Linked DNA regions of Caenorhabditis elegans. The protein of the gene in region 2 interacts with the protein of the main gene of each other region in a pairwise test. Each region holds a gene or a part of one and is shown on either strand. Other genes may lie near its edges.

What was found.
Region 1: the proteins of plin-1 (region 2) and his-3 interact in a two-hybrid assay, tested with the Caenorhabditis elegans proteins (one large-scale study listed by BioGRID).
Region 3: the proteins of plin-1 (region 2) and T05G5.1 interact in a two-hybrid assay, tested with the Caenorhabditis elegans proteins (one large-scale study listed by BioGRID).
Region 4: the proteins of plin-1 (region 2) and C01G6.3 interact in a two-hybrid assay, tested with the Caenorhabditis elegans proteins (one large-scale study listed by BioGRID).

What each region holds. Positions count from the first base shown.
Region 1 is NC_003283.11:16,036,340-16,042,826, reverse strand, and holds his-3 (Histone H2A), read right to left. Parts: upstream 2,020-6,487; coding exon 1,636-2,019; downstream 1-1,635. Other genes in the region: his-1 (Histone H4), read right to left, coding at 1-307; his-2 (Histone H3), read left to right, coding at 544-954; his-4 (Histone H2B 2), read left to right, coding at 2,312-2,683; T10C6.10 (F-box domain-containing protein), read right to left, coding at 4,534-4,717, 4,769-5,070, 5,611-5,926, 5,977-6,192, 6,239-6,372. UniProt on the Caenorhabditis elegans protein: Core component of nucleosome. Nucleosomes wrap and compact DNA into chromatin, limiting DNA accessibility to the cellular machineries which require DNA as a template.
Region 2 is NC_003279.8:7,053,402-7,061,436, forward strand, and holds plin-1 (Perilipin-1 homolog), read left to right. Parts: upstream 1-3,790; 5' UTR 3,791-3,806; coding exon 3,807-3,902; intron 3,903-3,956; coding exon 3,957-4,553; intron 4,554-4,589; coding exon 4,590-4,676; intron 4,677-4,731; coding exon 4,732-4,935; intron 4,936-4,982; coding exon 4,983-5,084; intron 5,085-5,135; coding exon 5,136-5,195; coding exon of another isoform or gene 5,196-5,216; exon of another isoform or gene 5,217-5,766; intron 5,767-5,783; coding exon 5,784-5,894; 3' UTR 5,895-5,943; downstream 5,944-8,035. Other genes in the region: W01A8.8 (DUF19 domain-containing protein), read right to left, coding at 372-590, 789-877, 1,137-1,272, 1,326-1,370; W01A8.2 (UPF0235 protein), read right to left, coding at 2,212-2,307, 2,506-2,633, 2,711-2,849, 2,899-2,967. UniProt on the Caenorhabditis elegans protein: Lipid droplet-associated protein which plays a role in lipid droplet clustering.
Region 3 is NC_003281.10:9,736,749-9,747,049, forward strand, and holds T05G5.1 (Prothymosin alpha-like), read right to left. Parts: upstream 6,592-10,301; 5' UTR 6,589-6,591; coding exon 6,485-6,588; intron 6,423-6,484; coding exon 6,319-6,422; intron 6,269-6,318; coding exon 6,197-6,268; intron 5,580-6,196; coding exon 5,419-5,579; intron 4,295-5,418; coding exon 4,166-4,294; intron 4,120-4,165; coding exon 3,674-4,119; intron 3,230-3,673; coding exon 3,141-3,229; intron 2,740-3,140; coding exon 2,609-2,739; 3' UTR 2,346-2,608; downstream 1-2,345. Other genes in the region: hlh-4 (Helix-loop-helix protein 4), read right to left, coding at 741-1,295, 2,029-2,091; iff-1 (Eukaryotic translation initiation factor 5A-1), read right to left, coding at 9,160-9,225, 9,275-9,412, 9,531-9,683, 9,728-9,857.
Region 4 is NC_003280.10:9,266,872-9,274,041, reverse strand, and holds C01G6.3 (Lipoprotein), read right to left. Parts: upstream 4,155-7,170; 5' UTR 4,149-4,154; coding exon 3,564-4,148; intron 3,516-3,563; coding exon 3,393-3,515; intron 3,346-3,392; coding exon 2,890-3,345; 3' UTR 2,775-2,889; downstream 1-2,774. Other genes in the region: C01G6.4 (RING-type domain-containing protein), read left to right, coding at 1,018-1,082, 1,265-1,322, 1,371-1,439, 1,490-1,578, 2,085-2,316; C01G6.2 (uncharacterized protein), read right to left, coding at 5,746-5,856, 5,904-6,035, 6,099-6,503.

The DNA.
Region 1 (6,487 bases), on a different chromosome or scaffold from region 2:
CTCCAAATCCGTACAGAGTTCTTCCTTGGCGCTTCAAAGCATAGACAACGTCCATGGCGGTGACGGTCTTTCTCTTGGCGTGCTCACAGTAGGTGACGGCATCACGGATGACGTTCTCGAGGAATACCTTGAGAACTCCACGAGTTTCCTCATAGATGAGTCCAGAGATACGCTTGACTCCACCACGACGAGCAAGACGGCGAATAGCTGGCTTGGTGATTCCTTGGATGTTGTCGCGAAGGACCTTTCGATGGCGCTTGGCACCTCCTTTTCCAAGGCCTTTTCCTCCCTTTCCACGTCCGGACATTGTTGCAGTTGACTTGAAGACTCACAAGTGAGATGAAGAAATGGGCAGTTGGCTGCCCCTTTTATACCACTATGCGGTGTGAAGGCGGAGACACTGCGGGGATACATATGTCTTGATATCCTTGCACTCTCTCACTTTTGCCCACTCTCTCACCTCCCCGCCTTCCCACCACAACCTTGTATAAATGCAGTGTATGGGTCTCCTTTCTTCACAGTCCTTATCGGATTCCAATTGACATGGCTCGTACCAAGCAAACCGCCCGCAAATCGACCGGAGGAAAGGCTCCAAGAAAGCAGCTGGCCACCAAGGCAGCTCGCAAGTCTGCTCCAGCCTCTGGAGGAGTCAAGAAGCCACATCGTTACCGTCCAGGAACCGTCGCTCTCCGTGAGATCAGACGTTACCAGAAGTCTACCGAGCTCCTCATCCGCAGAGCGCCATTCCAACGCCTTGTTCGTGAAATTGCTCAAGATTTCAAGACCGACCTCCGCTTCCAATCTTCCGCTGTCATGGCTCTTCAAGAGGCTGCCGAGGCTTACCTCGTCGGACTCTTCGAGGACACCAACTTGTGCGCAATCCACGCCAAGCGAGTCACCATCATGCCAAAGGACATCCAATTGGCCAGACGTATCCGAGGAGAACGTGCTTAAATTTCTGATTTTCAGAAAGTTTGAGACCGTTTCAATTCAAACCCCACCGAACCCAACGGCCCTCTTTAGGGCCACATACATATGATCCAATCATTTTCAATCCAATTTGAATAAATTATTCATTATTTTTTAACTTATTAAAAAAAAAGAACAAAACCAGGAAACTTTAGAGCCATACAATTTAGTATATTTTTATAATATCAAAATGTTTTACTGTCCTCACAGAAAGTGTCATTAATGACGTCATCAATTGCCTATCTGAGTCAGATCCAGGTCCAAACAATTGTAGGTATTGTGACGTCACTATATCTTTGTTTCTAAGGAATTTGCAACCACGTGTATTCAAATACTCAACCAGGAAAACCTCTCTAAAATCATATTGTTCAACAAGGTCACATTCAATGACAACTTTGAATTTGGCGCCAATTTATTTGAATTTGGAATGACCTCGTCCAATTTTAATTAACATTTGTAAGACAGAAGAAAATAATTACGAATCGTTTTGTGAATCAACCAAATCCAAAAAGAAGTTTCTTCTTTGCAAACGATTTTCAATTTATAATAAAGTACGTGCAAAAACCATTGATAAAAATAATTTTTATTCATGTTCAATAGAGGATTTTAAATATTTGTGGCCCTAAAGAGGGCCGTTGGGTTCGGTAAAATGTTTTAAGAAGGCATCTATTCCTTGTCTCCTCCGGTTTTCTTCGGCAAAAGAACAGCTTGGATATTTGGAAGAACTCCTCCTTGGGCGATGGTTACTCCAGCCAACAGTTTGTTCAACTCCTCATCGTTACGGACGGCCAGTTGGAGATGTCTTGGGGCAATTCTGGTCTTCTTGTTATCACGGGCAGCGTTTCCAGCCAACTCGAGAACCTCAGCAGCGAGGTACTCAAGAACGGCAGCCAGGTAAACTGGGGCTCCGGCTCCAACACGTTGAGCGTAGTTTCCTTTACGGAGAATACGGTGAAGACGACCAACTGGGAATTGGAGTCCGGCTCTTGATGAGCGGGACTTGGCCTTTCCTCCGGTCTTGGCTTTGCCTCCCTTTCCGCGTCCAGACATGGTGATGATTGGTTGGTAGATGTAAAAACGATCTGAAGGAGACCATTAGACCACACTCTTTTAAACACAACTGCGGTGACTAGGCGGGCACATAGACACAAGGCAGGTGGAGGAGGTGGCAGAGTGACCGAGAAAAACTGTGCACTCTGCGTATTCGGCTGGGGAGACTACATAGAAATGTGTCCCCGCAGTATGTCCATAGGCTCCTCCTTCCCACCGATGAATTATTATAAAGGAAATGGCCATCAACCCATTCTTTACACTTGTCCAACGACCAGTCCAATCAATCGAAATGGCCCCACCAAAGCCGTCTGCTAAAGGAGCAAAGAAAGCCGCCAAGACCGTCACCAAGCCAAAGGACGGAAAGAAGAGACGTCATGCCCGTAAAGAATCCTACTCTGTGTACATCTACCGTGTACTCAAGCAGGTTCATCCAGACACTGGAGTCTCTTCCAAGGCTATGTCTATCATGAACTCTTTCGTCAACGACGTCTTCGAGCGTATCGCTGCTGAGGCATCTCGTCTTGCTCACTACAACAAGAGATCCACCATCTCTTCTCGCGAAATTCAAACTGCCGTCCGTTTGATTCTGCCAGGAGAGCTTGCCAAGCACGCCGTCTCTGAGGGAACCAAGGCTGTCACCAAGTACACCTCCAGCAAGTAAGCATTCAATTGCTGAAAGCAATCTAACCGAACCCAACGGCCCTCTTTAGGGCCACATTTTTAAAAATCCAATTTTTCTTCTGTTTTTAAACTGAAATAAAGTTTTTACGAATATGAGGATAGTTTTTAAAATTAATTTTTAATTTAATTTTTAATATTTTTTTGTTTTTAATAATGTTTGTTTATTTTTATTTTATGGAGATAATTTTAATATTAATTTGTTTCATAAAAACACCTAGTTTTTCAAAGAGTCGTAAAATTGCACCCTTGTGTGTGTTTTTACTCCAGAGAAAATTGACTAACAAAATTGGAATGATAATCTGAATGTAAATGTTTCATATAAAGTGGGTTTGACATATAACATGCAATCTTGAACGCGAATACTGTAACTGTTTGCCTAAAACCTTGTCTACTTGTGCGATGATCAAGCTTCCAGATTTTTATAACTATGGGGACGTAAAGAAGTGCAGTTGTTAGAATAAGAATATTTAAAAATATAAATACATTCTAAACTTTGCAGCATTGTACTTTTAAAATTCCGGAAACCTACTTCGTACATCACTGGAAATTCACAATCGCGATTCTGGATATTTCAAGTGATCCTATGTGTATTTAAAAACCCGTTCAAATTTTTGGGTTCGATCGAGCTATCAAAAATGGGACAGATTTGTTCTTTCGAGTTCTTTGATTTCTGAAAATTTCCTTAACTCTTCAAAATGTAATACAAACTTCTGAAAACACTGAGAAATTTCTGAAAATTTCTGAAAATAGAGAATCCTATATTAATGGAGCATTTTTGAAAGTTTGGAAACATTCAAGAATTTGCTAAAGTTAGCTAGGATCTTTAAAAGATCTTTAGAAATTTCTTCTGGTCAACTCTACAAATGTTTAGAACCATTGAGAATGTTCTGGAAAACTCGAAAAAGTTTGAACAAACCCAGAAATTTCAGGAGTATTTGAAGCCTATTAGTCACTTGGAAATCAATGGGAAAGTTGGAGAAATTTTTTCTAGAAACCCGGAAACGATTAGAAATCTGGAAAGTTTTGACAATTTCAAAAACTGCAGTTTTGAAAATTTTTGAGGCTCTTCTGAAAATTCTTTAAAGTTTCAAAAAAAAGGAAACTGGTTGAATTTTTCAAAAGCTTTTAGGAAATTTAAAAGATAATATTCTGCAACAAAAGCTAGGTGATTTTTTGAAAGACTTTCTTACTTTGTGCGTAAGGTACATACATATCTGATTAAGTTTTTACACCGTAAAAAACTTAAAATTAAATGCAAATTATGGCTTACAAATGGTAAGAAAACATCACGGTGCCAGCAAAAAATACGAATGGGAAGTAGGATTTCTGCACAATTTGAAACATTCGGTTGGTTAATGGAAAAAATGTCTGGAAAAACAACTGCATTTAATATGAGGTAAGAGATCATATCTTTTCATCTCGTTCCCTATTTGTATTATAAGAATACGAATGAAACGGGAAAATAGTTATATTGAAAAAAGACAATATTCCCAATATGTAAAAATCGATTTTTGAAGACTTGTCAAACAGAGTTTTGAATACTGCTGTTGCATTAATTGTCACTGATTGCAGCAGTAAGCTTTTATGAGTGAAAGCTAGCCTTGAAAATATTATTGACTTTCACCGGTTCCACCCAATCTATTGATAGTTTCCCATTTCACATGCCTTGTTAGCCCAGGTTTTACGATGCATTATTTGCATGAAGTTACTGTAAATTGTGTCAATTCAGGGCTGCTATCTTTTTTTTTGAAATGTTGTTGAGATGAACTAAGTGATACAAAGAAATGATATATTTTTCAAAATAGTTAAAATACATATAAACGAAATAATTCAAAAGTTATGAATAATTGGTTCAGTCTCGATACGATATTTATGCTCAACGGGAGGATCGGGCCAGACGAGGAACAAAAATGCTCGAGGCGAATTCACAATTGTCGCGATTTTTCCGTCACCTCTTGTCACGTCGAGATCGTTTTTAGTGTCCAGGAGATACGGGTCCCGATGGCAGTCCATTCTGAAAACGTGAGAAAAATACACTAAAACGGTGTAAATTACCAGAACTTACACATAATATCTTCTTCTCGTAGAATCCAGGGATGAGCGTCGATGATTCCATTTCTTCGGATACGAACCCGATCCAAGTATTGTCGGATTGAAGCAGCCATGAGAATCGGGAGTGAAGTGAAGCTCAAATCTCTCCAAATGTGGCCATCGACCATCACGGAACCAACGCGAGATGAACTGGTTCACAGTTTCGACATCCCACTTAGTGTTTGACAACATAAGCCGAGTGAAATTTGCTCCCATAACATATCCAAATGTGACCCATCTTGCATCCATGATGCACACACGATTCAGGTCAAAGATCTGCAAAAAAATTGAGTTTTCTACTTTCTGAACTTTCAGGTTTTTAGTTGAAATTCCATGGTCAACTATGCAACTTTTTAAGAAACCAAAAATTATGCTTGAAACTTGATTTGATTTGACTGACTGACTTGATTTGAAAAACTAAAAAGAGTTCAAACAAATTCAGTTGAAAATTGAACAATCTTGTTACTAAAATAATAATTATTATTATAATAATTTATTACGCTCGCTGGGAGACGTGAAGGAATACAGAATACAAAAGTTATCATTGTTCGCTTGAACTAGAATTGGTGCAGTCGGGCAATTGTTTCCATTCCATTAGAATGTTGTCCTTGTCCTTGCGTTGTCCTTGCGTAGACTCCCCCATAGTGGGCGAGCGATTCCCGAGTGAAAATAATCACGGAATGAAAATAATCACGGAATGACAATAATCACGGAATGAAAATAATCACGGATTGATTAACTGAAAAGAATTCCTAACTGAACTCGTTTTAGTGATTACAGCCAGAGGACGACGAAGCTTTTAGAAAGAGCCCTTACCTGAGTCAGATCGAAGAGAGGTATGGAGAAGTAAAACTCAACGATGATTCCCTCCAAAAGCACATATTCCGGAAAAATTGATGACTGCAGACTGACGTGTTCGTTCGGGTTTATATTTCCCGACAATTTCGCCACGAGGTTATTTTTGAAAATTGGATGGTCAGTATGTTGTCTCACTCTCATAGTACATTCATCCATATTGACCACTGCGATTCCACCACGGCAACTGAAAATTGTGGCAAAAAAATCGAGACAGGGTTGTAGACACTCTTCATAGATGTCCGTGGAGCAGTGATATCTGGTTTTCGGGTCGTATCTGGAATATTTGTCGATTATTGACAGCTGAAAATGAATAGTATCACTAACTTCATCGGCAATCTTAGATCTCCGAATTTCACAGTCCTATTAAAAACTGCACGTTTAGAGGTGAAGTTGAAAGTGAGTGGTCGATCCTTTTGCCAATTATTGTAGAAAGATATTGATTTTTTCTCTTTTGAAATGTTGACCTCAATATGGTCAAATGTGTGGTGAGCAGGGTTGATCAAAGCGGCCAATTCCGCCGACACTTGGGACAACTCGAATCTGGAAATATGAATAGTTTAACTAATACGCCTGGAAAAAAACTTACATGTGATGAGCGTCTAATTCATGGAGAACGATGCGCAATGCCTTGGAAGGTAGCTTCAGAAACTGACTAAACGGTATCAATTCAGGCGGCGGTCGTCGATTCTTCGGTTTACAAAGTGAAAAGATTAAACCCATTGCACAGTCGAACGGGGTGAATAGGAAGGAATGACAAATTTCATTGGAGAAGGAGGTCGCGTGGAGAGGGCATGGACAATATGTTCTCCTGGGAAGAGGAAAGCGCGCGCGAACA
Region 2 (8,035 bases):
AGATCTTTCATGGGCATGCCGAAAATTCAATAAACTAACGAATTTTTGCGATTAATATCAGATTTTAGAAATTTAGTGAATTCTATTGAAGTTTCTCAAGCAGAAGACACCGAGGAAAACTGAAAAATGTCATTGAAAATAATACTTTCTGATAAAGAGTATTACATTTCCTGAGTTGGCATACATATATCGGTCGCCTAGGAAACTTAAAAATATACTCGTGATGTCCTCGTGAGTATGAACAAAAAGTGAGTAAAGTGTGAGAAGGAAGCGTATAACGCTTGAATGCATTTTTGAATGAGCTTCATTTATTTCGAGATGGGACAACGAAAAACCAAGGAAAGCGAACGAAAAACCCGAATAAAATAATATTAAACATCAAACACTTTCAAACAACTAAATATACCACATTTACGAATAATTGCAAGAACTTGTTTAACGGCAGCATAACTTAGAAAATCTGTCCAATCGTAACTTCCAAGGAATGCGAGTTTTTCGGTTTTGCACACTTCACAGAAATTACAATTGAGATAGCAATCGACGTGTGATTTGAACGCTTCTTCTTGGATTTGAGTGCAGCTGGTTGAGTACTGAAAATTTGAAATGAAATTTGTGACTGCAATTGGTATTAGCAGTGATAACTTGGAAACTTATTTTAGTTCATTCTAGACTGAAAAAAGCGTTTAGTCTAACAATTAGACATAAATTATTAAAAACAAATTTCACATAACTACAGTATATTCTACCAGACTAATAAGAAAATATGATATTTTTATTATTAAACTCACTTCGGAAATGTTAACAATGGCTTTGACTAGACAATTAGTAGAACATCCAACAAATTTCCGTCCTTTTGGGGTGAACTTATCAAGTGTGCCTGAAAAACATTAAGTATACACTATACAATTTTAATTATTTTCCAACGTAATTTTTAATCTTTAAAAATATCATAAAATTTTTATTTATTTTTTAAAACTTCCAGTTATAACTTTCGTTCTGGTAAGTGTTGGTAAATTGCTACAATTTTCAAAATTTTTTGACAATTTGAAAAGCTTTGAGAATTGTTGATTTTTTTAGTAGTTTTGAAATATTCCCCTGACGATTTTTGATTTGCTTTTAACTGATAATATTCTCACTTTGATTATTGAACATTAGACAATTTCTGAGACCAAAATGTAGTGGGTAGCCATCAGGTCCACATTTGAATTTTTGTTCAACAACTTCATATTTTTCACATATTTCAGGATCAGGCTTGGCGGAGATTACTGATATCTAAACTCTAATTTCGGGTTATGATGGGAAAGATAAAGGGTCAAAAAACATACCAAGGTACAATAAATGAACAAGAGACTCCCGAGAAAAAGTGTCATGTTGCAATGATCACTGATAATGATTTGTGAAGAGATAGAGAGAGGAGAGTGAATGAATGGGAAAATATGGAGATGAATGTTGGTTTATTTTGTGAAATTAGAGATAAAATGGTAGAGAAAAAGGAAAGCAAGTGGACTGAACACACGTGTTTGTCTGTCTTTTAAATGCATTTTTGTTTTGTTTTTTGAAATCAAAAAATGAATGGAACGGAGAGAGGAAGTAAACAGAGAGCCCAGACATTTTCGAACGATTGAACTGTCTGCGAGCTTTGTTATAAAAATGAAAAATACATTTCCAGCAAACATTTTTTCAGGTGAACAATCAAATATTTTCTATTGAAACAGTATGTTTGTTTATAACAATGCCCTTTAATTTTTTTAAATTTGTTTTCAGAAAGTGAAAACATGGAAATATTGAAATAACAATCAAATTATTTTTTCAAATTTTCATTGGGAAACAGGTATTTAAAAATCTATAAAGTGAAATATTTGTTTAATGTGGGTAATGTGTTTTGCATATCCAAAATTTTCGAAATTATGCGAGTTTTACTCCAAAAGTACAGTACCCAGTCTCGCGACGACAAATTTTTGTTAAATACAAAAGCGTGCGCCTTTAAAGAGTAATGTAGATTCAACCTTTTATTGCTGCAGCATGCTGCCAAATTCTCGTTGAATTTTCAGCTTTCTCGCCATTTTTTCTCGAAAAACTGAGAAAAATCGATAAAAATACCACAGCAACGAAAGTTTGAAATTACAGGGCACACTCGTTTAATAATAACACGATTAAAAGATATTTCAGATTTCTTCAATAATTTTTTCAATAACTTGAATTCTTACAGAATCAGTTGTCGATTTCTTCCTGCAACTTCTTCCGTACTTCGTCAATGGTCAATCGTTTTGTGTCTATCAGCACCACTTTGCTTCTTGACTTTGCTCCCTGAAAAGAAGACAAATTCATGGGAATTCCCTCAAATGTTCACGTGAATAATCTGATTCGCTTTTACTATTTCAAGGAGTCATGAAAGTGTTTTCGATTATTTAGAAACTGGTTTCAACTTCAAAGAACATCGATTATATCGTTCGATTCACTTCAATTTATTTGTTTGCTAATTCTAGCTTCCTTTTAAATACCTACCTTATCAAATTGTAATTCATTTTTTCGAAGACCCAAAGCACTCATTAAATATGAAATGAGCTCCTCATTGGCTGCTCCTTCGCGTGGCGCTGCGCCAATTGCTACATCAACTTCCGAATCTCCGATTGCTGCGAATTTAACATTTAGTAAACATTTATCTCTCTCTCGATGTTTCTTCTTCTTTGCAAAATCAAAAATATCTTACCTACAACACAACTCTTCTTGGCGCCCGGTTTTGCGTGAATATGCAGTCCGATTCGACCTTCAGTATCGGAGAAAATCGCTGATTCCTGCGCTTTTTTATCAACTATTTCGCCGGTCGGAACACATTTATTCGCTATTTTCTGTAATATCGTTATTTTTTCTTGATTGATTTTTTTAAAAATTAATTACCTCTTTTTTTGGCTTAACCATTTTCTCCTTGAGGCACGCAGAGGAAGTTCGGAAGAAGCCTGTCCACATAAAAAACTTTAAATGAAAACTGAGAGAAAATTTATGAAAGTCACGATCGTTCTGTGCACTGAACGTTGTATTTTTCTCTGCGTCTGGTGGGAGAGTGAGAGAAAAGGAGAATAAAACAACGAGGACAGTTTTACTATGCGGAATATTTTCAAATTTCGGCGAAAAAATATATTTGTTGAATATGTTTTTTATTTAAAAAAACACAAGATTGTGTTAAGAAACAAACAATTTTCGGATTAAAATTTCTTTACAGTACTCCCCAAGTACAGTATATCTTTAAAGGCGCACACCTTTCTGCTTAATGGTCCCGACATGTTTTAATTATTTAATTTAATAATGGCGCCATTTGTTTAATTTTCAATTTGTTTACCTTTTCTTTCAGACGTTCTCGCGATTTTTCTAGATTCTCCCGTTAACGACCGTTATCAGTTTTTATTTCCAAGTAATTTCTGCGAAAATTTTTCAGGTTTATTATCTTGCACTGATAATCAGCAAAATAGGTAGAAAAAGCGAAGTATTTCTTTTGTTTTCTGAACTTTTCCCTCATTTACTTGTTGTCGTCTCGTTTCAAACACAGTAGCATTAAGGAAACGTGTCTTTTGGCTACATTGTAGTTTTGTAGCGGGAATCCACAATTTTCCAAGTGAACTTATTGCGAAACTTAGTCACCCCACCATCTGATTGGGGGCAAAGTACGTTCACGGAGGACCTACAAATACTAGCTGACCAGTCCTCAGTTTCTCTATCTCTTCTTCATGATTTCTCGTTTCTTTTATTCTCTTTTGAGAACGTATTTTCTAGTTTATCATTTTATCAATTGATTGTTTGCAGCAAGAAAGATGACTGACGTCGAGCAGCCAGTATCAGTTGAGGATCAACAAGCCCAAGCCCAAAGCTACTACGATCAAGTCTTAGGAAATGCTTACGTACAAACGGTATTTTTATATCGCTTTCCAAAATCTTCGTTTCACAATAATTTTTATTTTCAGGCAATCAATGCATACACAAAGACTAAAGAGTTCCATCCACTTCTTAACTCCACATTGAATTCAGCCGAAGAAAAGGTTTCCACTGTCGGAAATTATGCGGCTCAAAAAGCCTATGACGGATACAATTCGTACTACGTTAAGCCAAAGAACACCGCTTATGAAGCAGTCTCTTATGGAACCGAGAGGGCCAAAACAGCTGTTGAGAGCGGAAAGCAAGCTGCTATCGTTGGTGGTACATTCGGAATTGGAGCTGCCGTCGTTTTGACCCAATTCTCACTTGCCTTGAGTGCTGGAGGTGCCGCCCTGGTCCTTGAGCAAGTGGACAGTGCTAAAAAGTTGGGAAGCAGCGCGATTTCTACGATCAAAGAAGCCGAGCTTGCTGTCGAACACAGAATCTTCTCAGCTCTTCATCAGGCCCAACGAATCGCCATGGTTCCTGTGGAGAAAATCACAGAAAATACTAATTCATTGCTTGACATTCTTGACGGAGCAGTTCAGAAAGGACTCAATATCGAGGTCCCACCATCTGTGAACCTCACCATCGGACAGCGAGTCAAAAATCTGGCTTCACTGATCGTCCAAGGAGTATCTAACAAGGTAGAGAAATGTAACATTTTTTGAAAATCCGTCTAGCTTTTTAAGGCACATGATCATGTTATCGATCCAATCAACGAGAGAGCCCGTAATTATCTTGAGCAGCTCAGCCAATCCTTCGTATTGGTTAGTTTATTTTCATAAATGAATATATATTGAATCTAAGATTGATACTTTTCAGCTAGACATCGTCCGTGAGAAGAAAACGTGGGTCATAGAGAAGTCAAACGAGCTCTCCACATCTGTCTTTGATTTCAAGAAAACACTTGAGGAAGAGGCACAAAAATACAAAGTTGCTCCAGAAGAGATGTTGATGAAACACATTCAATCAACCTCCGAGCAACTCTCAACACAACTTCAATCATTGCGTGAGAAGGGACAAAACGTTGGTTGTTCTATTCTAGAAAGTATAATTTATTTTCTTTTTTCCAGGTTTTCGGTGATGGAACTAAGATTGACTCCACCATTGACTACTTGGAGAACTTGAAGAAGAACTTCACAGATGCTGAGGATGTTTACAAAGTCCGCGACGAGGTATCTAAAATTCATTTTAAAAAAAGTTTATCTAAATAAGTATTCTTACAGGTTCTGAACGAGGGACGTCAACGGATCGCCGAGCTTTCAACCTGGACGACTAGCCTTTTGGTTCGTCAACAAACCGAATAGTAACTTTTCTTCTCAATCACCACTTTACTATCTGTAGTCTTTTCATGTCAAATAACTGGCTCAGTTCCTAAATGATGATGACTTCTACTCTTTTCTCAATTTTATTTGTTTTTGTCAGACCTTTGCCCTCCATTCCCCTCCTTCGCACCACCCTCACAAATTTTTTTGATATAGAAAGCAAGTGATAGGCTGGCGACGATGATGGCATCTTTTGTCATGCTATTCAATCTTCTTTCTTTTTGTTTTTTTCCTCTCCATTACACCACTTCGACTTGACCTGTTCTACTATATCACCTGCGCCGCTCCTTCTCGTCATCATCGTTGAGAATGGTTGTTGTGTGGATGTTGCCTATATTTTGTCAGATGTACGATTACCTTCTCAAATTATGCACAGTAAGCAGCCACCTCCTCCCATTTAAAATTCTCACCAGTACCATACTCCTCCCCACATATTTATTCTATCAGCCGTACGTGTATTTTTCCATTCTTAAAAGTCCAAAATCCCTCGACCTAGGTTACCAAAAACAAGGGTACGGAAATAAAGATACATAGCATACGGTTTTGCAGATTATCTCGGCCGAATGGCAATTTGAACCTGAAGATCTACTAATCGAAGAGCTCTACTTCGATGCGCCACCGCCAGTTCGCACAAGAAACTTGTATAGGAATCGTGCCTAAATTACTGATTAAATTGAACAACTTGTAAATAATAAATTGAGTACTCACCTGATACTGATAAGTCTAGATAAGATGCCGATTATCGGGGAAATAAGAAATCACATGTGACACTTGCGGTGATTAATCGCTTGTTTCTCCGATCTTTACACTTAACGTTAATGTCTGCCTCTTTTTATAATTTTAGTTCCTTCGCTTGAAAAATGGAAAAAATGCTTGCTTATATTACGGGAACACAAAAAAAAATGACTACTATTTAAATGACTACTATTCTTTCGACCTCCGTAAAACAATACGTACAGTAGCCTTTTATCGAATTACTGTAGTTTTCGCTACGAAATATTTTGCGCTTTAAATATGTTGCGCAATACGCATTCTCAGAATTTAATGTTACAATAATATCCAAACAAGTAGGGCTGCTTAGGCAGCAACCCCCAGCAGCCCCATAGCAACACTGTACCGTAATTTTTTATTTTCTAAAGTTTTTTCAATTATTTTTCTAAAGAGCTGTAAATAGTCAAAGTTGAGCAAGTTTTCCCGTTCAAGGACGAAAATCTCAGTCTGTGAAAGAGAGAAAATGAAACACGAAAAAGGATTTATCATGAAAGTCTTTATTTACAAAGTACGAGTAGGAGGCTTTGTTGTAGGATTTCGAAGAAGTGGCTCATCAAATGTCCATCTTTTCCAATACTCCCTCGAGCATTTCTTTGATATCCTTGATGGAAATTCTCTAGAAAATATAAAGTCATATTATTTCTGATAAACGTGTTCTTACTTTCTGATCGGAAGCCAACAGAGCATGTTCCATTCGTTGGCGAAGCTCATCCAACTAATTTGTCTTAATTTTTTAAATGACGGTCAGAAAAGTGTCAAGAACTGCAGACATTTTGACAGAGTCGAGCAGTTGATTCTTTGATGTTGGTCGTGGTTTCACATCCTTCTTATCATCATCATCATCTCGAATATCCCGCGTATTCTTTGATTGCGTTCCAACTGTATCAGAGCTATTCCTTTTTCCCAAAGTACTCTGCTTCTTCTTTAGATTAAGACCACCAGATCGATCTTTGAACATCAAAATACATCCCCAGGTCGCAATCCACATCAGAAAACTCTTGAAACCTGAAAAATGCCGACTTAGTTTACACCTTGTTGTTCTCTTTTTACTCACTTTTTAAGAAGATCCGTGTTCACAGGCAGAGCGTAGACAAAATGCAGCTTCGCTTGATCCTTTAAACGAATACCGCAATCGCTTGTAGTGGAGAACTGTTCAGACGAGAATCTGAAGAGATAAAACTTTGAAAATTACCAATAAACTAAGTTTTTGAACAAGCGAAGACCTTCTGAGCTTTATGAAAACAATAAATTCTAAAATTGCTTGAATTTTTGTTAAAAGAAAACTGCGCCTCAACAATAAGTCGTATATTGTTATCTCAATGTTTCTTACAGAAAAGATTTCGTGAGCTAATCTATCGTTACTCACTCAAAACTATAAAAAGTGTGAAGCGAAATTCAGAAAAGTACACCAACTAACCGTTTACTCTAACTCGGGGAACTTCTGATTGTGCCCACTGAAGTTCTGAACCGATCCCAAACTTTCAAACCCTTTGGCTGAGGAACATCCATTCCAACCGACAAACCATTGATCTCCGCTAGGAGAAATGTCCACATGCCAGTGTCTTCTTCGATGGAAAACGTTTCATAACTGGAATAAAAGTTTACGTGGCCAATTGAATCGAGCCCAATAATCTGAGTCTGATTTTTAATTTATCACAAGCACATTTTGCAATCTGGGAACGGTTAAATTTTTGCTCAATTCTCTCAATCGGAAATTACACCTGAACTGGAAGTAGAAACCGAACCAGGTTGCAAAATCAGCAAACCTCGACAGCAAAAAAATATTTTGATTTAAACTAACTTTGTTGTTAAAACGTCGATATTCAAGTCTACAATATAGAAATAATTAAATTAAAAATTTCCCAATATGTGGTTTTTTAAAGAAAAATTTTAATGGCATTTAATTTTTTTCACGTTTTTAAACTGATCTCCAAATCTTCCAAACTTCCAAACTCTCTTACTTTGAAAACTCAAGATAATTAAACGGTATACCCAAAATTAGATGGTGATTAAAAAAATTAGTTTTCAGA
Region 3 (10,301 bases), on a different chromosome or scaffold from region 2:
CTAAGGTTTTATTGAAATTTCAAAAAGTTTGTGGAATTGCAAAAAAGGAGGTATTTTCAAAGCTTGATATTATTTAAACGATTGCTCTATGCACTGCGGATCTGGGAATCAGGTACACCATTCCTGGTGGTGCTCCCACTGGGCTTCCGTTTAAGCCGATCTGGGGGATTGTGGTCGATAATCCAGTCTAGGATAACTGCCAGAAATGTTCATTTCCAGCAAATTACCAATTCCGGCAAAATGCCAAAGAACTGTGCCTTTTTCACATTTTTTCTCGTCTTTAAAAAGATTTTTTCATAGAATTTGATTATTTTTCTAAATAAATTTTCTAAATAAATCATAGGATGCGTACAATTTTCCGATTAAAATTAAAATTCTGAAATTTCCAAAAAAAATGAGCAAAACCACAATTTGCTGAAAACTTTCTGCAAGTGCCGTTCTTCCGGCAATTTGCTGATTTGCCGGAAAAAATCGTTTGCCGCTCCCCTTTATTGAGGTACAACTAACACCTTGTAGAAAACGTATTTCAAGAGTTTTTTGTCATAAATGAACTCGCCAAATGTCCGCTGCTTCATCTTTTGGCATGTTTGAGGTGGGTTGTTGAAAAGTATTCGGAAATGAAATTTTCGCTTTCGAAAAGTCCGGTTTCTGAGTAATATTCTTTGGAAAATAGCGAAAGTTTACGAGAAACCTGAATAGTCTGAACAGCCACTGCACATATAGAAATAAAATGTATTTATTCAAAAACATTGATAAGAGGGCATTGGTACAAGTTGATTATTAACAATCAAATGTGATTGTGGTGCAGTTGGTGCAGGTGGTGGTGGAGGTGCAGTTGATGGTTGATAGAAATATGTTGGATAATCAAGTAGACTCTTCATATAAGGGAATGTTGGTTGAGGTGAGAATACTGAAGGCATTTGCATTGGAACTGGTGGTGCTAATGACGATGCGAATGTTGATCTATAGTCGACTAGAGAATGATCTGGAGCACACGTCGCAGCTATTGGAGCTGGGAGATACGTTTCGTGGCGTGGAAGAACTGGTGCAAGGGGACGGATTGGTTGAGATATGACTGTGTCTGGTTTTGAGATTTTATGGACAGCTCGAACGGGAGTTGGAACAATTGGGCCAAGAGTTGCAGAAATAACAGACTGAGGAACTGCTTCTGAACTTTGAATTAATTTAAGAAGTGTGTCAATGTAAGTGATTGCTGCATTCAGTATACGAAGTTTGCTGACACGTTTTGTGAATTGACGGAGGCTTGGAAGATGTTGTTTCAGAACAAGAAATGCCTGAAATAAGAAGTATTTGAATGAACGGACTTTTGGATATATTTTTGTACGATTTAGAATTTTAAACTATTTGAATACTATTTGTTTCAAGGGTCTCTATAATCTATTACAGAAAATCACGGCTGACGTATGTAGATAATTTGACATTTGTCAAATAGGATTATTGAAAGTATGTAAAATTCTCAAAAAAAGAGAGATCCTTCGATTTTTGAAACATCTTAACAGCCAAGATCAGTTTTTTTTTTAAAATAATCGATAATCGATAATTTGAAATAATAAATCCTCACTTACAACACCTTTGAAATGGCAATCTACAAAAAAGCTTCTTACTTTTTTTGGAAGCACATCTTGCCATTTGATGTACAAGAAACAGAGAAGTGCGGCACATTTTTTCGAAACATTTACAAAATTCCCCTTTTTCATCGTTGTGCCAAAGTTTTTTGTTGTAAATTTATATCGGCATATAAAGAGATGTTTTCACTCTCTAAAGATGCATTTATTTTCAATTGAGATGCTCAAAAAATTTCTCAAAATCTTCCTCAAAGTCTCAATTTGCCAAATGAATGTACCAGAAAGTATAAATATTTCTCGACATTCCTATATACATTCACAAAAAACTTGGGCACAACAATGAGAAAATGGGATTTTGTAAATATGCCAAAAAACTTTGCTGCTCACATCACTGATCAGAAAACTACTGTAATTTCTTCATAACTCAAAAAAAGGATCAAACCTGATTAACAGTGTGTACACGTGTCCGTTCCCTTGCATTTCTCTTGGCAACAACCATCGGCATTCCTTTGGATTTTCAGGAATTTTGAGTCTGAAACTTTCAGGTTACAAGATATAAAATCATCTGAAATTTCTGTATTCTCACCTGACGTTAGTGGGAGATCAGATAACAAATGCAAAGCAGAAAGAAATCAGTGGGTAGTCAGTCATACAAGACGGGCGGCTCCTTTTCTCGCCGTCACTTTTCCACCTGTTCTGTTGTCGACGTTAATTGAATTTTGGATGAGGTGACTACATCCCGAGAGGATTACGGTAATTATTGGTTTACGTAAGCGTTTATTATTATTTTAGGAATTATCAAGGATAAAGTAGTATTGAAAAAACAATAATTAATACTGTAAGGTTAAACTGAATTTAAAAATGAGAAAAAAGTGAGATATGAGTTAGGAAAATGAAAGGAAATGAGCAAAAGTAGGTGTGATAAATTCAATGAAAAGAAACCCGTGAAACTAGAAAATAAGGCAGAACATTTGGTACTTAACAGGGAAACTGGGAGTTTGAGAATACTTTTTTCATGATATTTAGAAGATAAGTGTGAATAGGAAAGTTACAGTAATCAAGGATACTGTAGTTCCAACCGCTGCATTTTCATTTTCTTTTTTCACCATCATCCATCCTTCTGTACCTTCTTCCATACCGTATTCATCGGCTTCTGAAAAAAATAAAATAATTTTAAACTTGATAAATTTTCAACTTCCTAGTACGATATAAGGTTCCCTCATGGCGGATATTTTAATGTAATTGTCAAAACATGATTTTAATTTTTTTTGATTATATTAATTTAAAATTTTTAAATTTAAACTCCCAAAAAATGGTGGAAACTTAGTTTTACCAGCAATCTTTTTTTTCTACAATTATAAATATTTTTATTATTTTTATTTGCACAGTGTACGGCTTAAGCCTGCATCAATTCACGAAAATTTGTTTAAAAAGTAACTTTTCCCAATGTACCAAAAAATAATCAGTTTTAAAAATGGGAACAAATTGCCAAAACTCAAAAAAAAATATTTCTGGAAATTTTGAAATTATTTTAATTTTAAAAAATTAACAAACCTTCTGTTTTCTTGGTTCCTTCATTTTCTGCCGTCCAACTATCTTCGTCTGTTTTTTTGGAAGTTTCATCCCAATACTCGTCTTCCTCGCTTAAAAAAAATTCAATTAGAAATCAAACGTTTTTTTTTGAGATGATTTTTCAGAAATATTATTTCTGGAACTGTTAAAGTTTCCTAATGGGTTAAGAAATCAATTTTAACATTAAAATTGCACACGAAAAACTTTTTTCCTCATCACATTTTACTTATTCTTAATGAATTGATAACTATGAAATTTACAAAACACGGTACTGGGAGCATTTTAATTCACATTTTAGCCAACAGCTAAAATGTAAATTTCAAATAAAATTTTATAAATTATCCCACCCATTTTTGGTGTGCCCTGATAATGGGTGTACAAAATTCCTAACATCTGTATTTTTTTCAGGCGTCGGATTAAAATCAGGGTGCTTCATAGCATGTTTCACATAGCAACTTTTGAATATGTATTATAATTATAGTTGATATCTAGAACTAGATTTAGAAAAAACTTACATTGGATGTTCTTTTACAGTTTCATCGACTGCTTTATTGAAGACATGTTTAATCGAATCAATAAGTTTTTCATCTTCTTTTCTAATTGGTTCTTTATCATCTTCCATTTCATCTTTTTCCATAATCATATCACTTCCATCATCTCCATCTACTCCTTTACTCTCTTCTACCATAGGCTTCATAAGTTTTGTAGTTTTTGTAGTTGTGATTGTAACATCTTCAGTATTATCTGTCTCATACCCTTCATCATATTCATCTTCTTTTTCAGCAACTTGTGGATATTCTTCATCTCCACCTTCATATTCAAATTGTTCATTCATTGATTGTGTCCTTTTATCATTTAATTCCTTTTCTACTTCTTTTTCTGTTTCTTGTCTCCGTCTCTCTTCATCTCTTACTCTTGCTTCATCGGTTTCTCGTTGTGCAGCCAATCGGCGGCTTTCTTCCTGCAAAGGGATTCAGAATTAAAATAATACGGTACTTCATTCAAACCTCTCTACGTCTCTCTTCAATTTGTGATCTTTCAGCCTCGTGTTGTCTGCGTCTCTCATCATCACGTACTCTTTGTTCCTGAATTCTTCGTTCGGCTTCAGCTCGTTGTTGCTCACGGCGAGCTGTCTCCTAGAAATATTTTGTTGAGAGGAAAATTTTTAAATGAGGGGGCGGAGGGTAAGATATTTTAAAATATTCACGTCTACAGTGAGTAGATATTCTTTTCAGAATTTCCGATAATTTCGAATTTTTTTTGGCAAATTTGGCAAATTTGGCAAGACTGACAGTTTATACGTTTCGGCCATTTTTCTCAATATTGGCAATATTGGCAAATATGACAAATATGTCAGTTTTGCTAATTTCGGCAACTTCAGAAATTTTGCCAAAACCCAGTTTTTGGAAACTTTGGAATTTTTTCCATTTTTGGTAAGTGTTGGCAAGGCCGACAGTTTTATAAGTTTTGGTCAATTTAAAAATTTTGGCATTTTTATCAATATTGGTAATATTGGGAAATATGACAAATTTGTCAGTTTTGCAATTATGTCAATTTTGGAATTTTGGCAGTTTTGTATATTCTGTAAATTATCGTCATTTTAGAAATATTGTCAAGTTGGCAATTTTATATTGTGCCAATTTTGGCAGCTTTAGAAATTTTTTAATTACCTTTTTTAACTTTGGCATTTTTTGCAATTTTGGTAATTTTAGGAAACTCGGTAAGTTTTGGAATTATTGGAAACTTTGGCATGTAGCAAAGGTTAATTCTGAGCCGAAATTCCAAAACTACCTATAAAAACATTACGCCGATAATATAATGCTTTTTTTTGTCACACTTTGTTACTTGAAAATTTAATTTTTGTGCAGATTGGTTCTTGAAAATCTAATGTTTTGCTTTATTCACACCCCACTGCACCATGATTCACCTTATATGGCTCATGGGCAATAAATGTTTCAATGTTTTTGACAATAATATTCTTACAACATTTGGCGGCAACAGGCAAATCCAAAATCCGGAACTAGTTTTCAATCAAATATCAATTGGAACACTTCCCCTCAAATTGTCCCCTTTGATCTATCATTCATATACCGCCCAAATCTTTTGCTCAATCAGAAAATGCACCTCCCGTTGGTGGTGTGGAATGTGTTCAAAACAAGTGTCTGCTTGCTCGATGTGATAGAGAGCTCATTGAGATGCTCACTATCTCTCTTTCAATTTAAAACAACTGTTCTTTTCTGCTGATGGGGGGAGGGCTTACCTCTTTCCAATACTGTTCGTGTTGTTGTCGGCGTCTCTCTTCATCTGATGCTCTCTCTCGATCCTCTTTTTCTTTGCGTGTCCTCTCGGCGACTTGTCTCTCGTACTCACGTTTTCTCTCATCGTCACGTCGTCGAGCATCATCAATATCAGCTTGAGATTCTGGAATTTAAAGAATTTATTGCTGATCTAAAACAAAATGTGTTGTGGTTGACAACTTTTGACATCTCGACAGCTGTCGTGTCAGGACCAATTACATTCTCAAACAAAATAATACAAAAAAATGGAACAACAGAATAGCACATTTAAATGTTTTTGTTCAGCTTTCAGGAAAAAAACCCTAGTAACAGTTCCTTTGCGATGCGCGCATAATACTTCACTGGTCGATTTTGGCAATATCGAAAACTTTGGTAACTTTGGAAATTCTGGCAATTTTGGCTTTTTTGACAATTTTGTCAATATTGGCAATTACGTCATTCGCCGTAAATGTAAAAATACTTTTTTTTTAAACAAAAACCCTCCGAAATATAAATCCAACAAAATATATGTAGACCAACTTAAACTGAAAAAAAAGTTGCCGAAAAGTTTTGGGTTCGGCAACTTCGGCAAACATTTTTTATTTTAAAATTTCAGAAATTGAAAAACACCGTTTTAGCGCTTGTTAGCGCTTAGTTCTACTGAAATTGTGGCGAGACCCACTCAGAAAACAGTGTGTGCCTTTAAAGTGAAGTTTCAAATGGGGACAAAATCATGATAATTTGAATTTTAAAGAAACATACGCTGATGTTGGATATTCATTGGGTGTGATGTTTCATCGGATGTTGCAGTTGTTTCAATATCTTCGGGAGCAACTGAAATTTCAAAATTAAATATTTTTCCTAAACTCTAAATTTTGAGTTACTTCTAATCTGACATCTGTCCCCAGTGTAGACCCCCAAAAGACAGATGCATGAATGAAAATCGGGTCGCTCCAAATCGAAAACACACATTCCACCATTTTCGCACCTATAATTAGAAATTATAAGAAGAAGATATAATTGGTGGTTGTCAATAGTGGGTAATTTTACCTGATTTTACAGTTTGATTGAGGTGATACAAGACTTTGACCACAATTGATTAGGCCGACATTGAATGCGAACATCAAAAGTAGTAACAATATCCGTGAATGCATTTTCTGAATTAATATTGAATCGTTTATTATATTTTTATCACATTTTAAGGCATAGAAGTGTTTTGGAAACAAGGAAATCAACTTTTTTAAATTTAAAACTTATATTGAAGTGCAAACCATTGGGGTACGGAAAATACAGAGAAGAAGATGAATTGTCAAATATCATAGCAATACTTTTTTATTTAAAAAAATTGAAATTGGTTCCATCTATATCCAAAAATTGCAAGTTCTCAACAATTTTGGAAGTCAACCAAATAATTAAAGATTTTTTTAAATTGTTTTTGTTTCTAATTATGTTTAAAGCATTTGTACTCATACAAATATAGGTCTAACACTTTTTCAAAAAAAAAAACCAACAATTCCCCAACAAAAAATTAAAGTCTAACAATTTTGGACATTCCTGCAGGTTCGAAGTTCTATGATTCTTGAATTTAAATACAAAATTCGTAGGACTTTTTTGGTCAAAATTACAAATTCCAAATTATGATAGGTGAAAACTATTCCAATTTTTTGACATGAAATTCTAAAAAATTCTAATAAACTACCATGGCTTTTGTAAATTTCGGCATCATTGAAAGAATATGAAGTTTTATTTTTTAGATTATTTGAAATAAGAAAAAATTATTTTTTCAAAATTACTGTATCATTCGAGAAATTGAAACTCACCAAAAAGGTGAAAATTTAACTTGAATATTGATTTTTGATTAAATTCAGTTTAAAGAATTTTTTTAAAAAATAGGAATTCGAAATTTACGGTACTATTACGGTACTTGGTCTCGAAGCGAAACGAATAATTTGAAGTGGAAAAAAAATTCAAGGAAACTTTCAAAAAAAACTACTGTACTTCTTAAAGGCGCACACTCGTTTTCATTTCAATTTATTTATATTTTCTTCGGTCGTCGCGAGACCGGAGACCCTAATTTTGCAATGAAAATCGTGCAACTTCGCACATAGGATACAAGTACTATTTCGTATTTTTGATTTTTCAGGTACTCTAACTAATTCTAGATGCTGTTTATAAAAGTATATCCAAAAAAAAGTTCATAGCAAAAATGTTTTTTTTTTCAGGATTTCTAGCTACAAAACCAAATTTTTAAAAGTAGTAGAACAAATCTTAAGAAGTTATCAAGTAGTACAAACTAATTAGAAAAACATTGCTCTTGGAGCAAGAAGGCACTAGTGATGAATCAGTTGCGACATGTTGTGAATCTTCGACTTCTTCCTGTGTCCCGCCACTAAAACACGCAAAATGAGCCATCGACGGGACCCTGCGTCTCCGTGATTCATTGAATCTTTCATCATTTGGAACTCAAAATGACGACGGGACGACAAGTGGCTCCTGGACGGGAAGAAACGAAAAGAAATAAGAAGATGAGACGTATGTGTGTGTGTGTCCACTACTCTTTTTTTCTCGGCATCCCCTCGTTTTATACCCAGGTTTTCGTAATACTCAACTCGGAATTTGAAACTGAGACGTTGGCACGGCTCACCTACAACCTTTGTTGAGCTCATAAAACCTGCTACGAACAGGTGTCGACCTAGAGCTACTAGATGACCCGTGTAGAGGGATGGCTCTTATTTATATGAAACAAGAACTTTCTGAATTCAAAAATTATTTTAATCTTTTTTAGAGGCTGTACTGTCAATGGTTTTTTTATAAAAACTATTTAGCAGACCCAAAATTGGTCTGCTAACCAGTTTGAGAATTTTAAAGTAAAAACGCTATTAACAGTACTCCATCATAAAAACTTATTGGAATCGTAAAATGAACAGTTATACAACATGCTGGTTGATGCAACAAATGGAACAAATACTCATCAAATTCTCAGGCTTTGTTTGCGAATGTGAAGGCAAGCCGGAGATAGGAAAAGCTTAAGTAAGAACAGGTGGAGACGGACTACAGTAATCTAGATTAGGACGGATATATGTGTGGTTTTGGAGAAAGGCAAACAATCAAGGCTGATGAAAGAGTGGACACGGGTGTAAACGCGGCAGGAGGTGCGAGATGTGGCGAGATGATGATGGAAGCGTAGAGTTTACGAAATCTTCCTGGGTGACTGTGAAATTTATGCGACTCTTTTAAATTGCCAATTGATGAAGGAAGGATGGCTAGTGAGGTTTGAGGAAGGTGGGTCTTTGATACTGCACCTAGATATTATCGTGGTTAAGGGGGTGCTCGCAGGTCGCGGAGGAGGACACGTTTTAAAGTGAACAGCTCTATTGGCACGCGGCCAACCTGGGGTCAACTCAATAAGCAATAAGGTGTAGTGTACAAAGGGTGGAAAAGCTGCACAGGCCATGTAGTTCCAAAAACTAGGAACTGTGATTACAAAGTCTGACAACTGAATCTGATTTAACACTCCATGGACAGATGTCACCTCCGCGGTTTGCAAGCAATTCATTTTCGTTTGGTGAGCAGATATCACAATCAACACGACACATAAAACACCCACATTACACAACACCAGCGGAGGTGCACTTGTTCATTGCCCGATGTTTTTCGAATGATGTATAAAAAGCGGGATGATTAAACTGGAACTGCTTTTATTATGAAATTGTATATAAATGCAATTATTCCTTGGTAGAAATCTTGTATCCGAGAATAGCCTCCTCTCCGCAGGCAGCAACGACTTGAACCTGAAAATCAAAATTTTCAGATTCAAAAGGTGGATGTCGAAATAATTACCAAGACGCTTCCTTCGTCTTTCTCGAGAGCCTCACGGATAGTGTTTCCCAAGTCTCCTTCTGGCATTTTGAGATCGTCTTTGAGCTCGCAAGATTCTGGATCCATGAGCGAGCAGAACCCGTCTTCGATCGACATGAGCTGAAAATTTGATCAATAACATTTTTTACAGCTGATTAACTCATTTTTCAAAAGATTTGTTTAACCGTCCAAAGTTGATTTTTTTGAAAGCCTTCTTAAAAACTAATTAACAACTTACAATGTACTCGCGTCTCTTGACGACTGGGACGTCCATGTTGTGGGTGGATGGGCAGATATCCTCAAGCTTCTTGGTGGTGAAAATATCGATGGCAACCATGTGAACCTTAGCATGTCCGTGCTTTCCAGTCTTGGAGGTGCTCATCTCGACGATCTAAAAAATTTCTAATTAGGAAAATTCACTGAATTATTTTTTACCTTGCATGGTCTTCCTCGGATCATGACGTGCTCGTTCTTGCGAAGAGCCGAGCATTGCTTCGGGAAAGTAGCAGCAGCTCCGGACTCGGCAGAGTCGAATTGCTCCTCGTCGTGATGATCTTCGGACATACTGCAACAAAGATTTATCAATTATTTTAGCATTTTCAACTAGTTTCCAACGAGAAATTCAAAAAATAAATTTGGAAAAAAAGGTTTGCAGGAAAAAATTGTTTTGATTGAGAAATTTGATGCATTTCTAATAAAATATTGATCTTAGCAAGAAAAACACTGTACAAACCTGAGAAAAGTATAGAAATCGAGAGAAAATCAAATGCGCGAATTTTTTTGAAAGGACGTTGTTTGGCTGCGTATCACAATGAAGAATGAGTCGCTACGCAGCCAAAAATTTGGCGCCAACTTCCATCTTCAGACAGAATCGAAGTCCTCACTTTTTTAGGATTTCAAGGAATCTGCTCTATTTTTTGATTTATCTGAATAAATAATTTCCTAAAAATGCATTCGTTGCTTACTTGCCAAATTTCGCTTTCATCATGTAAAATTAAATAATAAAAAT
Region 4 (7,170 bases), on a different chromosome or scaffold from region 2:
ACCTGTTTTCACATGTATCGATTCAAGTTTTTAGAATCTAAGTTTCAAATTTTGATCACTTCAAAAATTATTAGTTATTTCTTTTTAGTCTAGACTTTCCTCGCGAGAAACATGCTTAAATTTGAATATATATCGAAATGTTGTATTTCTTATCAATAGACAACATTAATGTTTACTATCGATTAGGTTTTGTACGATTATGTCGTATAAAAATGTTGCTAATGCATTTCCTATGATTCTTGATGTTTTAGAACGGATTACGAAATTCTGCAATGATCAGTCAAATAATTTAAAGATATTTAGTATATTTAGCTACCACCTAGATACAGTAACTGATTAAATCGTCTCACTTCTTAAGTCTATTGTTAACTCTTTTCCTTAAAAAAGGGTCTTCATGTCCTATTTGTTTTGGTTTCGAGACCTGTTTTGGGCATAAATACGTGCAAACTACGGAAAGTCATTCCCGGTTTCCCAGAGAATCAATATTTGACGAGAGCTTCCGTGCACACCCAAACACACAGACACACATACACATAAAATGTTTCACAAAGTCGCTAAAAATGTTTTCTCATTGATTTTCTGGGAAGCCTGATTAATTAAAGAAGTCGCAGTGATGTTGTTCTTAAAGTTCGATGTGTAATTATGAGTAATTTTCCTTCCTGGTTTTCCATGCATGGACGTTTGAACATTATCTTACTATTAATTAGACGTCTAAAAGGTCTTGCGGCGCGAGCAGTGGGTTACTGTAGCTCGTGTCAATTTACGGGCCGAAATTGTACAATATACATTTTTTAATCATGAGTCAGAATTTTTTAAATTAAATTAGAGAAATATAACGCTATGGCAAACTGTATTTTGACACGAATTACAGTAACTTGTTGCCCGCGTGGCGAGACCCATCCGGAAAAGTCATGTAGAAAATTCTCATCTTTAGTCGTCTGAGAAATACTCCGATGTCCTCATTTTGTCACATCTTCATATATTCGACTTTTTTTTCAGCTTGATTTTCGATCGACAATGGGAAACTGCTTGCCGTCGTTGTTCGGGTTCGTCAGACAGCACGATGAGACGCCACTACGACGGTAATTTACTTTGTCATTCACTAGTATACTGTGAGATGTCGATGAAGCTAAACTGATGTGATATACCACAAAAATGAAAACGGAAGTTGTATTAACCAAAACACGTCGATTTTTTAAAAATTTAAATACAATTAGATTGTATGCTTGAAGTATAGAACAAGTTCAATAAACTATTTTTGCAGGAGCCGATCATCAGACGCAGCGATGAGCTTCACAAATCCGTCAATGATGCAACAAAGCGTAAGAAATTATTGAAGAATCTGAATTTAATTAAACTGAAATTTTCAGAGTTCGTACGTAAATCAGCTCTATCAACACAACGTAATTAGACAACGACAAGCACAGGAACAGGGAAAAGTGAGCGTTTAGAGCAGAATAATTTTAATTAAATTTTAAAAAATTCTCAGGAACTCGACGAAGCAAAAAAAAACCGAATTCGAGGACTTCTCGAGCAAATCCCTGCTGATGTATTTCGAGGAGATATGACCAGTAATGAGTAAGTTTTGAAATTCGGATCTAAATGAAAAATTAACTAAATTATTCAAACTACAATCTGACCAATATCAATTATTGTTCGAGCTACAGCAGAGGTGTTGAAAAAATTATTATCACCCAGACGCAAAATTTCACTCACAAAATATGGTTCCCGGTCTCGGCACGACAAAATTTTTGTGTACTGTGGAAGAGTGTGCGCCTTTAAAGATTACTGTAATTTTAAACTATAGATATATACGGAAATTTCATAGATTTTTAATTCTTTTTTGAAAACTCAAATATATGTGATTAAAAAATCACATACATTTTCACGAAACTTAAAAAATGATGAAATTTCCGCTGCAAGGAGAGTTTGAAAATACAGTATTCTATAAAGGCTCACACCTTTTCGCATTAAACAAAAAATTGTCGTGTCGAGACCGTGTATCGCACTTTGGCGCAAAATTTCGCGCCTGTATAATCAGTATTAATGCGCTCTAGTTAAATTTTTAAAAAAACCATTTTCAGATGTGCCATCTGTATGATCGACTTTGAGCCAGGAGAGAGAATCCGATTCCTTCCTTGCATGCACTCGTTTCATCAAGAATGCGTCGACGAATGGCTTATGAAGTCATTCACATGTCCTTCGTGCCTTGAACCAGTCGATTCAACCATACTTTCCTCGTTAACTGCCCATAATATGCAATCCTTACAACAAATCGTGTGCTCGCCGACTTCCTCATCAACTGCCAAACCATGAATGCCTTCTGCAAAAAATATTCCCATTTTCTTGCCCAGTAGAAGTTTTCGAGTTTGGTTTGCAGTGTTGGCTGTATTTGTCCCCATTACAAACGTCTGTATATAGAAATGCGTGTACATATGAACTATACCATTTCTTCACTCATCTTTCACCATTTTCATTTTGTTTCTTTTTTGCTCTGTTCCACCTGAAATCCCCATGTTGTGCATACTGTAGTCGTCTTTAATTCCTCATCATCTCCTGTTCATCTTTTTAGTCAATTCCATCCCAACGTGTTATTTTTCTTTCTTCTGTTCACTCATCTCGCTCTCTGTTCTGTAGCTTTTCTTTAATTCACCACTCGGTACACACTTTCTGTCTATGTATCTGATACTCATTTTATTGACTTCCCAAAAAAACTTCCGGCTACTCTGAAATTCAAATAAATTGCTTTTTTTTAACGCATAAAGTGTCAAATTGTCAAACTTGTTTTATTAAAAGATTCATATTGGAAATTGAAATTTGAAAAAAAGGATTGGATCCCTGATGGAAATTGGTACTCGTGGTGAAAAAAATATTAAAATTAAAAGTCAATTAAAATCCGAAAAAGTCTCGAACGGCATCCCAGGCTCCTTGATCGTAATGCTTATGGCTTAGCATGTTCACACCACGTCGTTGAGTGGTATACAATCGTGTCGGAGTGTCGGACTTCAGAATCTTCTGCGATTCTGGCAGCAATTCGGCGAATTGGCTCTTCTCCGGCTCGTGATGAGGTGTCATATCGGGCATCATAACTGGTGATCCGTTTTCAGTGGTTGGAGTTCCAAAACTAGTTCGGAGCACGAAGACACGTCCAGGAACGGTTGATTTTGTGCCATTTTGATACAAATCAACATCAGACTCGGTCGTAGCGTAAATATATCCGATTCCGAAGCTTCTGCGGAAGACAAACTCATCTTCGGTCTTGTAGGCGTAAATTGGGCAATCCGAGAGAGTACGAACGTCGCATTGGGTGTCAAATTCTTCGAAGCAGTAAATGTACGTGCCGAACTGAAAATTGAAACATTTAATTTGAAAGAGTATTCAGTAATACTAACCAAAACTTTGCATTTTTCAAGCTCAATTGGGATTACAGCTTGTTGAGTGATCAGGACGAATTGTGGAATATCATAATAGGCATAGACCTCCTCATTGTGCAAGAACTCTCCTCCATGGGCCAACTGAAATTATATTTTTTTTTTTTCTTTAAATTCACTCAAAGGACTTACCGCATAAATAGTTCCAGATTGTGGAATATCTGAAATATTGAAGCAAATCATCGTCTGAACAGTCATCTGTTTCACGTTGCAAGTCTTCGGGAATACCGTTGTCTTTTGAGCAAAGTCTAGAACATCGTTGGCTCCGGCTCTTTTGATGGTTTCTTCAGTGACTGAATCCAGGAATGGATTATTGATTTTATTCTCCAAAAATAGAGATTTGAGATCTCGTTCGAATCGAAGACTATTCCAATTGTAGTCGAAATAATCCAAATATCTCATTTGAGATCTATCCTCTGTCAGATTGTATTCTGGTTGCTCGTTCTCGGTTTGGATATTGAATTTGCGGCAAATTGCGTCGAAACTCGTGAAAATCCGCTTTTGAAGAAGCCCTCGACTGTACTCATTCATATTGTTCGTGTTGAACGAGTTGACAAACTCATTGAGATCCAAGGTATACGGTACACAGTGTTGCTTCTCCGGAATCAGACGTCCTTCACCGTAAACTTCAAACTCGATTCCATTGGCACGGAATGAGTCGAGCACTGAGCATGTGGAGAATGCAGAGCAAATTAGGAGAAGAATCAGAAGACGCATCTGAAAATCGATAAATTGAAAGTGAAACGAAAGGAAAGTTGAGTTAGATTCCAGAAAACTTTCAAAAACCAATGATGGAATGACTAAAAAATGGGAAAAGAAGAAGTAAGATTGAGGAATGAAAACTATAAATTGGATAAAAATCCCGCCGAGTTTGTGGAGGTAGGTCAAAAAAGTATTTAAGTCTAGAATATAAAGTTTGTTGAACAGCTACAAAAAAATATAATTAGATACAGTATACTCCCAGCTTGCCTATAGATGCACCTAATTCTTCTATTGTAGGCAGCCACACCTTCAGGCACATGTGCCTGCCTCAAAGGTTTATAGAATTGGAAAAACAAACAAGCAAAAAGTGTTAACAAGTGGGAGAAGGTAGGCATGTAGGCACAAAATAGGCGCGCGAATTGAACTGATTTACCAGAATAGCATTTTAGAAGTTAAAGTTTTTGCTATTAAAAAAAGAAAGAAGGGATCAACAGAGAACTAAAGGATTCAAAAAAGAAAAAGAGCCAAACAAAATATTATAAAATAAATAGAAATGACCAAAGAAAGACAGGGGTCACCTATTCGAAATGTGTCTGCACACGGTGCATATGCGCTAATGTGCACGATAAAGAGTGACCACAAATGACATGTATATCCAAGACGCGCGGAGAGACTCACCAGAACGCTGCATTGCGCAACAACAACAATACGATCGAACCGCCTCCGATATCTTTCAGAACAATGACGTCATTAGAAGGGGTCATCTGCTGTTTTTTTTGTTTTAATAGAAATAATGGATTAGGTGGCGTTGCCGCCTTTTAGATTACGATTTACGATCAGGTAAGGTGGTGTATCTGGTGACGGATTATTGTGGTGTGGTGACGGAATGGTACACAATTTGGGAAGAGTCATGAACTCAATTTGCTCAAATTTGAATATTTGGATCAATGAATGAAACTGATGCTATGGTGGACATTAAATAAATTGTCTAAAAGCAGCCTGATAAATAAAGTTTATTTACCGTATTTCTCCTATAAGTATTGCACCCAATTGTTCAACTTTGACAGCTTATATCTTAGTTGTCGTTTGTTCTATACAAAAATTGTCAACTGAAACTTATTTTCAAAATCTTTTTATATAATTTTGTAGTTGATCATTTATTGATATCTCTAAAATAAACCAAGATATACATTTTCCAAGTAAACTAGTTGGGTACGGAAATACAGCACCTATTGGTTTGGTAAATTGGTAAATGATAAACTATGCTTTTGTGTATGAAAATGTTTGAAAAAATGAAAGATTCGACAATTTTTAAATAACATTTTAAGGAATACTAACGTTTTCGGAACTTGCCTATTGCGGCTTCTATGCAGAAATTAAGAATCTTTGATATTCTGTCCATCTTCCAGTTCCCCCAGTTTAAACTATTGAAACGACTGAAAATTTCTCCCTGAAAGTTTAGTGCTGACTCCGAACCATATAAGGGCGTTTTGTTAAACAGAAAAGTCCATCCACCATGAAAATATTGATTGGAAAATTGAAAAAAAAACTAAAAAGCAAAACATTTCAACTGAAAAATTTTATTTGAAGGACGAGATGAAAGGCTGATTTGTCACATAATTTCGTTATTGTACCGATTTTGCACGAGTTGACACAAATCACTTCTTCTGGAAGCAATCGCTTCCAATTCCAGCCAGTGTCTGATAGTTCGGATCATGAGTAGCTGAAAGTTAAATTTGAACTTTGATTGTGTGAACTACAAAAACAAACCAGCCATTCCAGGACCACCGGCTTTTGGAGCACCTGGAGCCGCACCACCACCAGCTGGTTTTGCACCTTCTTTCTTGTCGAAACAATCGTTTCCAATTCCAGCAAGTGTTTGGTAGTTGGGGTCGTGGGTGGCTGAATATGATTAGTTTGTTAGTACGTAGTTGAATCTGAATATCCAATGAAATATTTACTCACCAGCCATTCCAGGACCTCCAGGTTTTGGAGCACCAGCAGCAGGAGAAGCTCCACCAGCAGCAGCAACAGGAGAAGCTTTTCCTTTCTCTTGGAACACATTTCCATCAACTCCAGCAAGAGTTTGATAATTTGGATCATGTGTCCCTGCGACAGCATTCTTATCACTTGGAGCCTTTGGTCCCTCTGGGTTTGGAGCACTCGATGATTTTTCTTTCTTATCACTCTTTGCACTGGTTGCACCATCTCCTCCTCCTCCTCCAGTTTTAGCTCCACCACCACCCGATGATCCACCAGTCTTCTTCTTTCCTCCACATTGTCAATGACGTATCCGGTGAACACCATTGGAGCGAGCATGCTGTAACCGAGATGGGCAAGTTGTAGAAGTGTTTCACTATTTTCTGCCATGTTTCTTTCTGAAAAAATAACTTGCATAATTACAGATAGAAAACAATCTGCATTAAGCATGAAAAACCGGACGTTTTCACCAGATTCCTGAGAATCAGGAGTCCTTGAAGGTCTTTATGCCAACATGCCGGCAAAGCTTCCCCAAAAAAGAGCCGAAGAGAAAACTCACCGAATACACAAGGTCGCAGAACAAAAGTTAGAATAAATTAATTGAACAGATAAGTTTCTAAATTGAGACTTTCACGTGTTTCTTTTCAAGATTTTCATAACCTTTTCATAAACCAAAAAATACTTTTTGAGATAATTTGAGCATTGCGGCAAACTAAAACCCCTGCAATGCTCAAACTTAAAAAATTAAAACAAAATTATTAAAGGTGCACTTTTGGGGGGAAATTTCAAAACGGGATCCTTACAAATGTACTTATGAATCTCATAGAAATTCCCTTTCTTTTCATCCAAATCCCATGCACCGTAATATTTCCATATTATTCGTATTGTTTCTAATAAAAATTCATAGTTTTTTGTCTTCTGTATATTCAAATCGAATAGTGCTCCGTGGTAACAGAATGCGATTTATTTTATGAGAAACTTGATGTTTCTGGCAGATTTTATTGATCGCACAATCATAGTTTCGTGGTACTCTGGCGATCTTGACGAATTTATTGAT